4 linked regions of the Sus scrofa genome follow. The protein of the gene in region 1 purifies or fractionates together with the protein of each later gene. This does not show direct contact. Links are inferred from orthologs where the notes say so. Each region holds a gene or a part of one and is shown in the gene's direction. Other genes may lie near its edges.

Region 1 (3,560 bases):
CCGGCACAGGCCTGACTCTCCTTAGTCACAGGGCCGCTTCCGGAGAGCTCACTCCGGCTGTGACCCAGCCCACGTGACTCAGATGCAGGTCATCTGCGTGTGGAGACGTTACTCAGCCATCTCCTGATCAGAACCGTGTGGTTTGACTCCCCTGGCATTATACTCCCTGGCTGATCCCACCCCGCCGGCTGGAGTTGGGGCCCACGGGACGCTGCCTCAGACGTGGTCCACCAGCCACTCAGTTTACCCAAGGGCACGAGCCAGCGGCTTTGATACAGTCACCGAGTTGTGCTGTCCTCAACAGTAATGTTAGGACGCTCTCATTACCCCCAGATGAAGCCCATGCCCTGTAGCAGCCGCTCCCCGTTTTCCTTATAACACCCCAGGCTCTGGGCACCCACTGGTCTGCTTTCGGTCTCTGTAGTGTCCTGTTCTGGGCATTTCCGTATGAGTGTCATCATACACCACGTGGCCGCCCGTGCCCGTCTTCTTTCCCTTAAGCATGTTCTCAGGGCGCCTCTGGGGGTGGCGAGGCTCGGGTCATGGATGTTTACCTCCACACCAGAGCTTTCTGCTAGAAAACAGGTATTGTCGTTTGAGGGGCTGTGGCGGAACAAAATCACGCAATGTCTTATGTTCTTCATGGTCTAGGGCTGCCGAAAAGGGGAATTTCGAAGCTGCTGTGAAGCTGGGCATCGCCTACCTCTATAACGAAGGCTGTGAGTCCCGGGGGCCGGCGGGGCGGGCGGGGTGTTTTAGAATGAGCACCAGCCCTGCCGGGTCAGCGCTTCAGTTGCTGTTGCTGCTGGGTCTCTCTGCCGCAGCTGGTGCCCAGAGGTGCCCCGCTCAGGGACCCCCTGGTGAACTTTGATCTTGTGTGGTGTTAGGGTTAGGTTTATTTTAACAAAACCTTCATTTCGATTGACAAAGAGGGACTCTGAGCAGAGACTCAGAATGGGGACTGTCCAGCCAAGCCAGCCTTTCCTGGCTGCCTGCCCTCTGCTCACCAGGCCTGGACCCTGGCTTCTCTCCTTGGCCGCAGCTCCTCTGTGGAACTTGGGGCAGTGGTCGGGTGTCAGTAACCCTGGTGGCCAAGGCCCCACGCAGGAAGCAAGTCCAAGCAGGTCGAAGCCAGCCTGGTGCCCAGGTCTTCACCCCCCAAGGGGCAGGCACTCCTTAAAAGAACCTTGTGCAGCCCTCTCGCCCGAGTCCTGCCTGTTTGCTTCGCACCCTAAGGAACAAGTCTGCAGCTCGTCCTGTCCCAGCTCCCAAAATGCATAAAGACTTGGGGTTAGCTGCCACTTTTCTGCTTCTGCAAAGACCTGGCGTCTCGCTGAGAGACCGCCCTGCGCGCAGCTGGCTGACAGGACGGTCGTGCCTGGAGGCGATGAGCAGTCCTGCTCCAGGCTCAGGAGCGCAGCGGTCCTCGGCCGCTCCCCCGCCACCCCGGCAGCTGGACCCGCATACTATCCGCCCCGCCCGTCTAGAGGGTGCAGGCCAGTGGTTGCTGGAATGTTCACAGCATTGTGCAGCCATCACCACGAATTCTGGAATATGCTCATTTCCCCAAAAAGAGCAGAGGGCTGGGCAGCAGCTCCCACAGGAGGGAGGGTGGGGCTGGGGCACCTCCATGGCCCCTCCTGGACCCCAGGATCCAGGCCACTGGGGGGCCCAGCCGGGGCACTTCACGCCCAGCGCACAGGAGAAGCAAGGCGCTCTCGCGCCGGCTCCTCTGTCCCAGAACGCCAGCGGCGTGGCAGCGGCTTAAGGCTCTGGACCCTCCCCTCCTCCCGAGACATCCGGGCTGTTCTGTTGTGTCTGCAGTGTCTGTGTCTGATGAGGCCCGAGCGGAAGTGAACGGCCTGAAGGCCTCCCGCTTCTTCAGTCTTGCCGAGCGACTGAACGCGGGTGGCGCGCCCTTCATCTGGCTCTTCATCCGCCCGCCTTGGTCGGTGTCCGGAAGCTGCTGCAAGGCCGTGGTGCACGAGAGCCTCAGGGCGGAGTGCCAGCTGCAGAAAGTGAGTCGGGGGGCACGGGGTCCCGGGTCCCAGGAGGTGAGAAGACCTGAGGGGAGAGGCTGGTGCCCAGGTCATGTCGGAGACCGAGGGCCGTGGAGGCGCAGAAACGAGCACGGATGTGGGAGCATCTGGAAACCACAGCAGCGGGGGAAGGCCTCCCAGCCAGGGTCGGGGGCATTGGGTGATGGGCTGGTCTGCAGCTGGACTGACTGCTGGAAAGGCGGGACTGGGGCTCCGGGCAGCAGTGGGCCAAAGCCTGGGATCAGGGAGCGGCCATCTGTGCGGAGGGGCTGGGCGGGGAGCCCAAGGATCCACAGGCGGAGGGCAGCCCTCTGGAAGTTGTCTCCGCCGACCTCACACTCCCGTCTCCTTTCAGGCTCACAGGGCGTCTATACTGCACTGCCTCGGGAGAGTCCTGAGCCTCTTCGAGGTGAGTCTGGTCGTCCATCCCACTGGGGCCTGTGTCGTTTGGCGTCCTGGCTGGGCGAGCACGCAGAGCGCGACGGCCCTGTGCTCCTGTGCCGCTCGCAAGTACTGAGGACCAGGGAGCATGTGAGAGGCGGCAGAAGGGGCCTCCAGGGTTCAGGGCCAAGGCAAGCTCTGGCTGTGGGCCTGAGCTCTGCCTGTGGGGCTGAGCCGTGCAGGACCCCAGGCCTGTTTGTTTCACGCTCTGCTGTTGGTGGGTCCCCCACCCCTCACACGGACCTCTCAGCCCTTGAGAAAGCTTAGCGAGCCTTGTGATTACGGAACCCCACCTCTGCAGCCTGGCCTGGTGGTGGCTTCTGGTGACAGGTGCTCTGAGAGCAGCGGGGGACGGTGAGCAAGCAAGGAGCTGGAGGGGCCTTGAGAAGCGCCCCTGTCGCAGTCTGGGGAGGAGGGCTGAACTCCAGCTCTAGGCGGCGGGACCCAGGGCCGAGCTCCAGGCACACGGGTCGCCAAGTCGAGCATCCTCAGAGAAGTTGTTGCTACTCCAGGGCAGGCAACTCATTTTACTGCAGGTGAGGGCAGTATGTGGGGTCACTTAGAGGTGCTTATTCCAGGATGAAGAGAAACAGAACCAGGCCCGGGACCTGTTTGAAGAGTCTGCCCATCAGGGGTGTTTGACCAGCTCGTACCTCCTCTGGGAAAGTGACAGAAGGATGGATGTGAGTGGGCCCAGGTCTGGGGAGAGGGTGACTGGTGTTGGCCAGAGGCACAGCCTCCAGATTAGCCCTTGGACGGGGTTCTGTCAGTGCGGGGGTCCCTCCTGGGGCCCCAGGAGCTGCTGGTCATTGGGCCGCTCTCAGCACTGCCCCAAAGACAACCACCGCCACCTGGGGGATAAAGGGCTGGGAAGAAGGCCCTGCTGGGGACCCTCCGGAGGCAGCGGGGAGGGGGAGCAGTTGAGAACCCCAAGAGTGGGTTCTGAGTTTCTGCAGAGATACGACTGCATGAAGATATGGTGACTTTCTCCTGTTGACAGATGTCGGATCCTGGGCGATGCCTCCACAACTTCCGGAAACTCAGGGACTTCGCTGCCAAAGGCTGCTGGGAAGCACAGGT
Region 2 (4,324 bases), on another chromosome or scaffold:
CTCGGATCTTGTGTTGCTGTGGCTGTGATGTAGGCCAGCAGCAACAGTTCCGATTACACCCCTAGCCTGGGAACCCCCATATGCTGTGGGTGTGGCCCTAAGAGGACAAAAGACAAAAGACAAAAAAAAAAAAAAACCTTATCCTTCCCCCCCCAAAAAAATGGCATCAGAGATGGATATGCAGGACTTAATATTTATTCCCTGTGAGTCTGTAAGAAGCAGGAGGCACCCACTCCAGAGCCAGACTTCCAGGATTCAAATTCCAGTTCCACTATCTACCAGCCCTGTGAGCCCGGGCAAGGTTACTTAACCTCTGGGCCTCAGTTTCCCCCTCTTTAAAACAGGAATGAGGAGTTCCCATTGTGTTGCAGTGGGATCGGCAGCATCTCTGCAGCACCAGGGTACAAGTTCGACCCCCAGCCTGGCACAGTGGGTTAAAGGATCCAGCGTTGCTGCACCTGCAGCACAGGTCACAACTGCAGCTTGGATATGACCCCTGGCCCATATGCCACAGGGCAGCCAAACAAATTTTTAAATTGAAATAAAATAAAATAGGAATGATAACAATGGCACCTACCTTATGGGGTTATTGTGAGAATTAAATGAGTTAATGCATTAACTATGGAGCACTTTGCTATTACTGCATTTCATTGAATCTGATACCCTGGTACACTGGGAAATTAAGACTGTTGCCAGTTAAACTAGGACATATCATCAGTGGAACTGGAGCTGAAATCACATAATGATTTCAGAAATGTGAAACAAAAAGTTTGTCTTCAAATAGATGAAGTACACTAGGTTACTTTAGCTGGAATATGTTGGCATTAAGGTTAGGGGTCAACTCCCTGGTTCACCATTTACTACCTGCGTGGCCTTATTTAGCAAGATATTGATCCTCTCTGTGCCTCGGTTTCCCCTCACCGTATATGCACCTACCACGCCCACACGAGACTGTTGGGGCAATTAAATATGTGAGGACTTAGGAACTTCTCAGTACATAGTATGAGCTAATATTGCTATTATTTTGATTTTTTTTGTCTTTTTAGGGCCGCACGCGCGGCATATGGAGGTTCCAGGGCTAGAGGTCACATTGGAGCTGGAGCCACTGACCTACGCTACAGCCACAGCAACGCTGGGTCCTTAACCCACTGAGCGAGGCCAGGGATCGAACCTGCGTCCACATGGATGCTATTCAGATTCGTTTCCGCTGAGCCATTACGGGACCTCCGCTATTATTGCTATTTTTTAGAACCAAAGTTATTCTCTCCAGGTGCAGAGGCTCGGGGAAACTGGAGAGGATGTATCTGCCCGGCTTTTTGGATTTGAAAGGTCTTGGCCGCGCCTACCCTCCCCAGTCTCGGGAGGGTCCAGAGGGCCCAGGACACGCCCCCTTGGTGCCCCGCCCCTCGTGGCCCCGCCTCCCACCCCGCCCCCTGGTCCGGCCCAGCCCTTGCGTTAGTCTCGCGCACTTTTAAAATGCGCGAGCTCCGGCCGAGACCCAGGGCCGGCGGTTGGTCGGGCGAAGCCATCTATTACGCTACGTGGGGGTAGCTAAAAGCCTGCGCAGCCACATTTTTTCCATTATTAGCTCTTCAGGCCCAGATGCTAGCCTTCTTTTTAACCGTGGTATCCGTTTCGTATGCTCAGACCGCGCAGATGGGTTCCTGACTCTCTGGGGAGAGGGCTGTGTGGCTCTGTGCGGCGATCCCCCCCTCTCGACGGGGAGCCGGTGGGAGGGGACGACGGCCAGAGGCGGGGGGAGGCGGCCCTAGCGCCATTTTGTGGGAGCGAAGTGGTCGCTGGGCTGCTCTTGGATTCCTCGCTGTTTCGGTTTCCCTGTCGGGCTTCCTAGCAGCGGCCTAGCAGGTGAGTGGCGGACGCTTCTCACTGGGACGCCCTGTGTGCCTCCGCCCTATAGTGGGTCAGCCTAAGCGGACGCGGCGGCTTCGGCCCCCGTCCCGGGAAGGGAGCCGTGGGGCCGGGCCCGCCTCGATCCTGGCGGAGCGGACTCGCGCGGGAGCGACGTTAGGGGTCTGGCGCAGGGTGGCAGCCGGCGCCGAAGCAGAGACGCTGGGCCCGCAGAGCCGAGCCGCCGGAGGCAGAGGTTTGGCCTGGCTTCCCGGCCCGGGCCCTGCTTTGTGCCTTCGTGCTTTGCACTCGGGAGGACAACGTCTAGGCCTGATGCTCCGGCGGTCCCACCCCGGGCCACGCTTAAAAACTCCTCCCTCAGCCGTCACGCACGGGCTTCTGGGAGGTGGCGGCCCGTGTCGCCGAGGACCTGTCGCCGCCGTCCTTAGGGCTCAAGTTGGGAGAGCCGTCGGAAGTTCGCACATTTGACAGGGAGGAACTTTTCCCCTGCTCTCTGCCCCTGGCTCGCCGCTCCTGTTCAGTCCTCAAGTTTCGGCTCCTGCATCGCTTTCTCAGGAGACTCTACTTTGACAACGCGTGTCCCTGCCCAGTCTCACCCCAGCCCCCGAGGTTCGTTCTTTCTGTCGGGTAGCATATATCCCGATTGTAATTAGGTAATTACTTGTTTGCTGTTTTTCTCTTGCTTCCTCTCTCCCCTTTGCACCCAGCCTGCCACCTGGGACTGTGGCTTCAGAGTTAATAGTTGTAACCCCCGATGCATAGTAGGCACTTGTCGAATCCTCAGTGATGGAACTAGCAAGGCATTTCACCCCCTTGTTTTCACCTCCCCATTTTGGGGCGATAACCAACAGGTGTAAGAAGCCCAGCACCGAGAGTTTTTCTGCAAGTCGTAGAACAATGACCTGGCAGGGGTATTAATCAGCTGATGGAAAGAGACAGTTACTATGACACACGTGTTGGTCATTCGTCTTTCTCTTTTCCTTTTAAGAAAAACAAGAAAAGATGTCTGAATATATTCGGGTAACCGAAGATGAGAATGACGAGCCCATTGAAATACCATCAGAAGACGATGGGACAGTGTTGCTGTCCACGGTTACAGCCCAGTTTCCAGGAGCGTGTGGGCTGCGCTACAGGAATCCAGTGTCCCAGTGTATGAGAGGTGTCCGCCTGGTAGAAGGAATTCTGCATGCCCCTGATGCTGGCTGGGGCAATCTGGTATATGTTGTCAACTATCCCAAAGGTTTGTTGCCGTTTGGTTTTGCAGTGATTCTGAAGTACAGGTTTAAACTATTTGAACTGAGGTTGCCTGTTGCCAAATTTAAGGAATTATTAAGACTTGCTTTGCAGTTGTTATCAGTCTATTGTTGTAAATAGATTCTTCTGAAGTGCCCCCAGACTTTGGTTTCGTTTTTGTCCTTGCAGGCTTACATCATTCATTCAGCTAATCATTTTTTTCCCCCTTAAACGAATATCAATTGAAGTAGCCCAGATTTTGAATTAGTGCTGTCTTTGGTTCTCATGTTATTTTCACTGTCTCTTATCAGTGATGTTCAGGTTAAGGATCTTGCCTTGTCACTGAAGCGGCTTGGGCCACTGCTGTGGCGCAGGTTCAATCCCTGGCCCGGGAACTTCCACATGCTCCAGGCACGGCCAAAAAAAAAAAAAGCAGCAGCAGCATGAAGATATATGACGATTTAGATTTAGAAGTGTGGCATGAAAATAAGTACATTTTAGCAGTAGGAATGTGCTAGTTGATATATATGTGTGTTTTATTATAACTTAGTATTGCAACAAAGTCCTCTTATTTGGTTAGAAATTAAGACCGAGTCAAATTTTTTTTTTAATTTTTTTTTCTTTTTGTCTTTTTGGACTGCACCCAAGGCATATGGAGGTTCCCAGGCTAGGGTTTGATTCAGAGCTGTGGCCACCAGCCTACACCACAGCCACAGCAATGCTAGATCTGTGACCTGCACCACAGCTCAGTGCAAACGCCAGATCCTAAACCCACTGACTGAGGCCAGGGGTCGAATCTGCATCCTCATGGATCCTAGTCAGATTTTTGTTTCCACTGAGCCGTGACGGGAACTCCAGGAAGTTTTTTTGTGTGTGCGTTTTGTCTTTTTAGGGCCATACCGGCAGCATGTGGAGGTTCCCAGGCTAGGGGTCCAACCCAAGCTACAGCTGTTGGCCTATGCCATAGCCACAGCAACTCGGTATCCGGGCCTTGTCTGCAACCTACACCACAGCTCATGGCAATGCCGGATTCTTAGCCCACTTAGCAAGGCCAGGGATTGAACCCAAAATCTCATGGTTCCTAGATGGATGCATTTCCGCTGCACCACAATGGGAACTCTGAAATTTTTTATATATTAAGAAAAATTTTAATAGCACCAGCTTCAGCGGGGGGTAGAATGTAATTTCTTGATCTGTTGGCTGCAGATTAATATTCACCTAA
Region 3 (4,046 bases), about 87 Mb from region 1:
TGTTGTCACGTCCACCACTCTGCAGATTAAAAAAAAAAAAAAAATCAAAGAACAAAAAATAAAGCTCATTTGATATGATTTTAAAGAGACTAAAAAGATACAGTGGACAAATGTAATGCATGTGCTAAACAGGATCCTGAATAAAAAGTGAATGAATTAAAAGACACATTTGAAACGACTGGGGAAAATTTGCTTATGGACTAGAAGCTATTAGGTGATGTTAGAGAATTAATGCTGGTTTTCTTAGGTCTGAATATGATGTTGTGGTTACGTTAGTGGATGTTTTTATTTTTAAGAGTTATATGCCGCAACATGCTGAAATATCTGGGGATGAAGTGTCCTTTCTACAACCCACTTTCAAATGATCCAGAAAAAACTAAAGCCTCCCACGTCCAGAAAGAGAAAGCAATAAGGCAAAATGGAAACAACCACTGAATCCCAGGTGGTGGGTGAAGACTGTAGGATTCTTTTGTTTTTCTGTTTGTTGAAAACTTTATTTATTTATTTTTTTGCTTTTGCTTTTTAGGGTTGCACCTGTAGCATATGGAGTTTCCCCGGCTAGGGGTCAAATCAGATCTCCAGCTGCTGGCCTGCCCCACAGACACAGCAATGCCAGACCCCAGCGGTGTCTGTGATCTACACGGCAACGCTGGATCCTTAACGCATTGAGCAAGGTCAGGGATGGAACCCACATCCTCATGGATACTAGTCGTTACTGCTGAGTCACAAGGGGAACTCCGAAAACATTATTAACAAAAATTGGGAGAGGAAAGTTCTAGCTGGGCAGTTTTAGGAACCGTATAACCTTGGACATTCTCCTTGCCTCTCAGACCTTGATCTCAAGAGAACCTCACACTGTCCTTTGCATTTTAAGTGTTAATCACGTGGTCCAGGGGCCCAGGGGCTGTGGAGTTACCGACGTCAGTGTCATTACCAGCGCGGTGTCCCGTATATAGGTGATGAGTGCTGGGGTAGGGTGAGGCGCCTCTTAAGAGGCCACCAAACCCGCCCGCCCTAGATGCTAAAAGTACAACTTCTCCCCGCGCGACCGCAGGACCGGAAGCGGGGGCGGGGCTTACGGTGGCCTGGCGTGGGATCCCGAAGGCTCGAATGAGCGCCTCCTCTCGGAGGTTGGGGGCGGAGTCTCTGTCCTACTGGCCAATCGTGGAGCAGCTGTCAAACAGGCGCAGAGGGAAGCCAGGAAGATTCCTGGTCAGATTCCAGCGCCCGGCCCTAGGCAGCAGCGGAGGGCGCTCTCTCTTCCGGGGAATGGGCCGCCACGTCCCGCCCGGCCTTTTCCTCTCCGGGACCCAGGCGAGAGAGGAGGCCCTGCCTACCAGAAGCCAGGCCCCGCTGCCTCCTCCCGGCTTGACCTCCCCGCAGAGTCACGTAGCCTTCTGCCCCTGCTTCCTCCTTTGTAAAGCGAGAGCGGTAAAAACCCGACCTGGGGGGGAGGGGATGGGACCTCCCAAATGACTCAGAGGTGGGAGGAGGTGAAGGAGAGGATGGCGACTTTTCCCCCTGCCTCGTGGCAGTTCAACCGAAAAAGAAGTCACGGTTTCTGGCTAGTTCACCGAGTTATACTTTATGGTTCCTGTACACACGGAATATAACAGGAGCTAAAAAGCACATGGTGCCTGGAACAGCAACCCAAAGGAGGACTTCAGGTATTAATTACCCGACATTGAGGATTAGAGAAGGACAGAGAATCACTGATAATTGCGATCGTTTTATGGTGGCTGATAAAACCATCACACCTCTATCAATAAAAATATCCATTTTCTGAAAGTGCATGCTGAAGTAAGGGGAAATCGACAATGTCTGTGAGCTGCTTTAAAACAGATAGACCAGAGTCTTAGTTGTTTTGTCTAAGAGATGCGAAGCTCTTTTTTTTTGCTTTTTAGGGCCGTACCCGTGGCATATGGAGGGTCCCAGGCCAGGGGTCTAATTGGAGCTGCTGCAGCTGCCGGCCGACACCACAGCCACAGCAACGCAGGATCCAAGCCACGTCTGGGGACCTACACCACAGCTCATCGCAGCGCCAGATCCTTACCCTACTGAGCGAGGCCAGGGATCGAACCCGTGTCCTTATGGATACTAGTCGGGTTCGTTACCAGGGAGCCACGATGGGAACTCCTTAACACTGCTTCCTCTGCAATCATTTCTTGAATTTTGCCACATTCAGGGCAAAATCTATGGCAAATCTGAAAGATCATGTACAAAGTAAAATGGACACTTTTACTTAGTTCGAATCCCCCCCTCCCCCATGGAGGTTTTCAACCCCCTCTCCAGGATCTTGGATGCCCAATAAGCAGTACATGAATTTCTAGTTCTTCAAGCACACACTGGACTCTTTCCCAGGAGGTTTTGCTTAGTTTGCCATTTTTAAAACAATATTGACACAGAGGACAGTGGTCTGAAAGCAGACACGATTTCAGCGGGAAACTGCACCAAAGGCCCTTCCTGTTAATGTGAAGGTTTCCAAAGAGCTTCCCATTTTACATGAATGGTCTCACTTAATCCTCTCATTTTCTTAGGAATCCCACAGGTTAGGTAGAGCTACCAGCGCACCAATTCTTTAAGTCGGGTGACCTGTCCTAGTGACACAGCAACTGCACCCCGGGACTCTGAAGCCAGCGGCCCTAAATGCTAGGCGCCACGGTCCCCGCTGAGCACCCCACACCTCAGGGACCTTGTACCCCTCCCCCAAGTACACGTATGTAAATCGTCGCAGCCATGGCGCTTCCCTCGCTGCCGGGGCCGTTTTACTGGCCTTTGCACCAACCTCATTTGCAAAACCTCTCGCCCAGAACCGCGAAACCGGTCCGAGAGACGTTTTCGGAGAGGTGGGGCTCTGTGGGGTGGGGTGTCAGCTCCCGCTCTCCGGCGCCTGGCGGGCTCCAATCGCGTTGTTTCATTCAATCCCAAACCGTCCGGCCCCAGCGAGTGCCCGCGCGCGCCAGGCCACCGAGACGCGCAGGGGCTGCAGCCTTTGTCCAGTGGGGCCCTCGGGGAGCCGGGCAGTGGCTCCCCCTGCCCACCCGGCGGCCCCCGGAGGCCTGGGAGGGGTCGGTCCCGAGGGTCCCCGGCGGGCAGGGGCGGCCTGAGATCCCGCGCGGCGCTTGAATCGCGAGGGGCGTGGCCAGCGGCGGCTCCGCCCAATGAGCGCTCAGGATGCTTTAAATTCCCCTGCGGGCCGGGCTGGGGCTCGCATCCCAGGACCTGCGCCTTCGCCTCACCTGCCCCTCCGCGCGTCGCCATGCTCTCCGTCCGCGTCCCTCTCGCCACCATCGCCGACCCGCAGCAGCTCCAGCTCTCGCCCCTGAAAGGGCTCAGCCTGGCGGACAAGGAGAACACTGTGAGCGCGCGGGCGCGGGGGCCGGGGGTCGGGACGGGGCGGTGGGGTCCTGTGGGACGCGGGCGGGCCCCTCACCACGCGTCTCCCTGCAGCCCCCGACCCTCAGCGGGACCCGCGTGCTGGCCAGCAAGACCGCCAGGAGGATCTTCCAGGAGCCCGCCGAGCCGGTGCGTAGGCGAACGGGGGGCGCCCGGAGAGGGGGCGCTGCAGGAAGGCGGAGCCGGGAGGAGCCTGCGCTTGGCGCCAAAGCCTCATTGTCTCCTTTCAAAGCCTGCCCCCACCCACCCGGGCCCGCTCTCCTTTCCCGCCAAGTCTCTTCCCGATCATTCACCCAGGGGGGGCATGGCCTATTTCCCCACATATAGTCCTGCTGTTTCGTGTATAGGCCACATACCTGACAGCGACCCTAGATTCAACCCCATGAAATTCCCGATCATTGGGTGTACGTGACCTGACTGGAAAAATGACAATTTCATCGTCTGCCCGCTCCTTAATGTTTTCACTGCTTTCCCCCCGACAGAACCCTAAGCTCTCGGCCCCCAGCGTGGAGGACGAGCCGCTCCTGAGAGAAAACCCCCGGCGCTTTGTCATCTTTCCTATAGAATACCATGACATCTGGCAGATGTATAAGAAGGCAGAGGCTTCCTTCTGGACAGCTGAGGAGGTAACTCCGTCCAGAACCCGGGAG
Region 4 (4,270 bases), on another chromosome or scaffold:
CAACAGCTCCAAATAGACCCCTAGCCTGGGAACCTCCATATGCCGAGGGCGATGGAGACAAAAAGACAAATAAAACCCCCAAAAAAACCCAAACAAAAACAAAGATAAATGTAAATTCCTGTATTTAGGGCAAAAAGAGAGATGGCAAGTAAGAGAGACATATTTTAAGATATCAAAAGTTTGAAGACCATCGCCTTTTAGAAGGACATTGCCGAAATGACATATTCCCAAGAAACAAAAAGGTGAAAGCTTTAAGGTAACTTACTATAGGGTGAGTATAGGAACCGGGGCTTTGGTCTAGAGAAAAAAAAAGTAAAGTAGCTATATTAAAATATTTAGTATCTGTGGTATTCAGATAGCTAAAGACCTGTAATTGAATGGCTCTATATTATTTTTTCTAGAGGACATAATTAGGTGGTTTAACTTGGAATTTGAGAGCATAGACTTTGGAAACAGTTTGAGTGGATTCAGATCCTGGAACTGAATCTGTGGGAACTGCTGCCATAAGGAATCTCTGCTTCTAAGAAGCTGCTCAGGTGACACTCTTGAAGGTGTTTGAGGACCTATACCGCCCACCGCTGGTCGCTCACCAGAAGAGGCGCTCCCAATGACACTCCTGCCTCTCCTGGGAGAATCACGAAGGGAGAATCTCAAAAGCCCTGCAGCTGGGTTTAAGAAGAAACAAAAGTGTCAGTTATTAACAGTTTGACATTCTACAGAATGGCGCTCAAAGAAAAGTGGCGAATCTGCTCTCCTGTATTAACCAGAGCTGTAAACAGCAGTTTGACATTTGGGCTCTTTGAGTCAAAATGGGTCAAAGTCAAGAGACAAACTGGAGCTATTAAACTGTTTACCTAGTGTATTAAAAACTCTTGGATCTGAGAAGGAAATTATTAGTAGCATAGTTTAAGGGTGGCTTAAAATAGTCATGCGGGAGTTCCTGTCCTGGCTCAGTGGTTAAGGACTAGTATCCATGAGGACATGGGTTCGATCCCTGACCCCATTCAGTGAGTTAAGGATCTGGCATTGCCATGAACTGTGGTGTAGCTGCAGACGCGGCTCGGATCCCCGTAGCTGTTGCTGTGGTGTAGGCCAGCAACTGCAGCTTCAATTCGACCCCTAGCTGGGAACCTCCACATGCCTCCACATAAGGGTGTGGCCCAAGAAAGACAAATGACAAATAAACTTAAGAAAAAAAAGTCATGGGGCCTACCCAGACTGCCTTACCACGACGTGACACTGCTTCTACGCGGAAATAATTTTACATTCCTAACAAATGAATTACGAAAGGTATTCCCCCGCCATTACTACTCTCAGACCAAACGTTACTAGAGGGACGAAAACAGTGGGTCAAGAGCTATTGATTGACGTACATTCCAACCAATCTACAACGGAAGAAGAGTGCGCCTGCGTGAGGCGTAACTCAACCCGTACTTAGCGTCAGCGGAAGAGGCGGGGCAAGTGGAGACGGCCACCGCAGGGTTGGCGGACTTGAGAAGGAGCAAAGATGGCGGAGTGAGGCACGTCGCAGCTCGCTGGCCTTTGGGCCGGGGGGCGGGCGGCCCCCGGGCGCTCGAGTGCTTCTTCTGGCCAGTGCGAGGTAAGCCTAGAAGGCTAGCGACGGAGGAATGAGCAGAAAGTGGCGCGGCCTATCCCTTTCGAGAGACGGAGCGCATGGAGTTTAGTCGCGCGGGCGCAGGCCTCGGCCGGGCGAGGTTTACCTCCGAGCTGCCCCAGGGCAGCCGCCCCTGCTTTTGGCGGTGTGTTACACACGCTTGAGTCCCCGACCCGCCACTGACCTCTGTACCTTGCCTTGGCTGAGTTGGTACTTTCCGCTTGTTACCCAGCGATTGCACCTACGCGAGTGTGTATCTGGCATTCTCTGCGTCTGCCATCCGCTTATCTTTTGAAGAGTAGCTTTGTTTTATTGATTTATTTATGCTTCTCGCCTGTTTGGCTTAAGGTTCGGGTATCAATTGAGGCTTCTTGCGGCTCTGAGTATTTTGTGTTCCTGGCCTGTTGACCTTGAGATTTGGGTAATAGGTCACCCACCTCCATCCCGGGATTTTAGTTTGACTCTGTGTATCACGCACTTTCTCGTGCTTATCTTTATTATATCCATGCGTTCCCACTTCCACCTCTCAAACTTTGTTAAGATCGGTGTAAGCAGCTTTGTCCTTGTATGACCTGATAGTTACCTAATGGCGCTTTAATCTCGGATGATTCTAGGTTGAATTCACCGTTGTTTTTCACACAAAGGAGTCATTGTACAATTTTTATTTAGAATGAAAGAGTTTAGGGAATTATGAGAAAGCAATTTGCGGAATGTGGTGGGGTTACAAAGTATAATACTGTCAGGCGTTTGTATTCGGTTCTTGTTTAATTTTATGGAATATCTCTTTGTTTTGTTTGTTTTTGTTTTTTGCCTTTTTTACCTTTTCTGGGGCCGCTCCCGCGGCATGTGGAGGTTCCCAGGCTAGGGGTCCAATCGGAGCTGTAAGCCACTGGCCTACGCAAGAGCCACAGCAACGCGGGATCCGAGCCGCGTCTGCGACCTACACCACAGCTCACGGTAACGCCAGATCCTTAACTCACTGAGCGAGGCCAGGGATGGAACCCGAAACCTCATGGTTCCTAGTCGGATTCCTTAACCACTGACCTTAACCACTGAGCCACGACGGGAACTCCCTGGAATATCTCATTTTGTAATTTGGGTTGTTGTAACCTCTCACTCATCCCCCCGTTTAAATTCTGGGGAAAATCCTTGTTTCTGAAGTTGGTGAAGCTTGTTTAAAATTGGCACGTTATTTGGGCCCGGTTAGAATATGTGCTAATACAAATGAATGTATCCGGTATGCCTTTTCCTGGCCCTGTACCTAGCAGAGCTGAAAATACGAGGTTAAAGAAACACTTCTCAATAAGAATTTTCTGTTGCTCTTGTCAGGAGTAATTTTTCATTTCATCTAGGAGAAGAAATAAGGTATGGGGCAGGAAAAAGGAACAGAATATTCTTCCTTTCTACCTTACAAAGAGGAGTGGTTATCTGTACTAAAGCAAAGTCTTTTATGGAAAAAGGTTCTCAAAGAGGACGGTGTTAATTAAAAACTTGAGAACACTGCTCCACGAGTTTGGACATCTTTATAAAATTAATGCCAGTGCAGGTAGAGTAACTTTCTTTTCTTTCCTTCCTTCCTCCCTTCCTCCCTTGCTTTGTCTTTTTAATGCCACATCTGCATCATATGGAAATTCCCAGGCTAGGGGTGGAGTTGGAGCTGTAGCTGCCAACCTACACCACAACTACACCAACTCGGGGCAACCCGAGTGAGCCACAGGTCATGGTGGTGCCGGATCCTTAACCCAATGAGTGAGGCCAGGGATTGAACCTGCATCCTCAGGGATACTAGTTGTGTTTGTAACTCACCCAACCACTGTGGGAACTCTGAGAGTAACTCAGAGTTTGATTATTTGATAGTGATGGTTTAAGAATAATTTGGTTCATTTGAATAATTTTGCACATGAATGCATATAGCTCTAGTGAAGGCTGTATCCTTACTGTAATGTTCTTTTTATTTTTCCTTATCAAAGGCAGAACATTTTTTCTTGACTTTTAGGTGGTTTTATATTCATCTTAGAAAAAACACAAAATTCTGAACTCAGGATTTGGCAAGTGAGTAATAGTGACTAATGTATCCAAATATTTGTTTAAGCAGATTGGAAATACATAGAAGTGGAACAGTAAATCATTAGCTTCAACAGAAAATGAACATCAAAAGTGACCGTAATTTTTTTTTCTTTTTAGGGCTGCACCTGCGCATATGGAAGTTCCCAGGCTAGGGGTCGAATCAGAGCTACAGCTGCCAGCCTACACCACAGTCATAACAACACTGGATCCAAGCCATGTCTGCGACCCACACCCACAGCTCACGGCAACACTAGATCCTTAACCCACTGAGCAAGGCCAGGAATTGAATTGGCATCCTCATGGATACTAGTTGGATTCGTTTCCACTGCGCCACAATGGGAACTCCCCAGATGTTGATATTTTAATATTTACTTTCTAAAGCCTTTTCAGTAGGCCTTTAATATTTCTAGGTATGAGTCTGTTTTTCTGAATTTACCACAGAAGTAAAGTACACTCTTGCTCAAAGAGCAAGAGGTGATAGTGCTTCCATAATTGATAACATTGTCTGCAAGCTAGAGTTCACACCTCCTATATTAATTTCCTGGGGCTGCTATAACAAAATACTGCCAACTGGGTGACTTGGAGATC

What was found.
Region 2: the proteins of CCNF (region 1) and TARDBP purify together in Homo sapiens (affinity purification with western blotting; 3 studies listed by BioGRID, with this or other methods). This does not show direct contact. The link is inferred for Sus scrofa from reciprocal best matches to the Homo sapiens genes CCNF and TARDBP.
Region 3: the proteins of CCNF (region 1) and RRM2 purify together in Homo sapiens (affinity purification with western blotting; 5 studies listed by BioGRID and IntAct, with this or other methods). This does not show direct contact. The link is inferred for Sus scrofa from reciprocal best matches to the Homo sapiens genes CCNF and RRM2.
Region 4: the proteins of CCNF (region 1) and NUSAP1 purify together in Homo sapiens (affinity purification with mass spectrometry; 3 studies listed by BioGRID, with this or other methods). This does not show direct contact. The link is inferred for Sus scrofa from reciprocal best matches to the Homo sapiens genes CCNF and NUSAP1.

The regions. Positions count from the first base shown.
Region 1 is NC_010445.4:39,596,582-39,600,141, reverse strand, and holds part of CCNF (cyclin-F), read left to right. Parts: intron 1-651; coding exon 652-719; intron 720-1,824; coding exon 1,825-2,018; intron 2,019-2,394; coding exon 2,395-2,448; intron 2,449-3,058; coding exon 3,059-3,163; intron 3,164-3,480; coding exon 3,481-3,558; intron 3,559-3,560. UniProt on the Homo sapiens protein: Substrate recognition component of a SCF (SKP1-CUL1-F-box protein) E3 ubiquitin-protein ligase complex which mediates the ubiquitination and subsequent proteasomal degradation of target proteins.
Region 2 is NC_010448.4:71,212,079-71,216,402, forward strand, and holds the start of TARDBP (TAR DNA-binding protein 43), read left to right. Parts: upstream 1-1,505; 5' UTR 1,506-1,866; intron 1,867-2,857; 5' UTR 2,858-2,871; coding exon 2,872-3,109; intron 3,110-4,324. UniProt on the Homo sapiens protein: RNA-binding protein that is involved in various steps of RNA biogenesis and processing.
Region 3 is NC_010445.4:126,364,327-126,368,372, reverse strand, and holds the start of RRM2 (ribonucleoside-diphosphate reductase subunit M2), read left to right. Parts: upstream 1-1,227; 5' UTR 1,228-1,431; intron 1,432-2,141; exon of another isoform or gene 2,142-3,219; 5' UTR 3,220-3,259; coding exon 3,260-3,358; intron 3,359-3,450; coding exon 3,451-3,525; intron 3,526-3,878; coding exon 3,879-4,022; intron 4,023-4,046. UniProt on the Homo sapiens protein: Provides the precursors necessary for DNA synthesis. Catalyzes the biosynthesis of deoxyribonucleotides from the corresponding ribonucleotides. Inhibits Wnt signaling.
Region 4 is NC_010443.5:130,062,823-130,067,092, reverse strand, and holds the start of NUSAP1 (nucleolar and spindle-associated protein 1), read left to right. Parts: upstream 1-1,451; 5' UTR 1,452-1,600; intron 1,601-4,270. UniProt on the Homo sapiens protein: Microtubule-associated protein with the capacity to bundle and stabilize microtubules. May associate with chromosomes and promote the organization of mitotic spindle microtubules around them.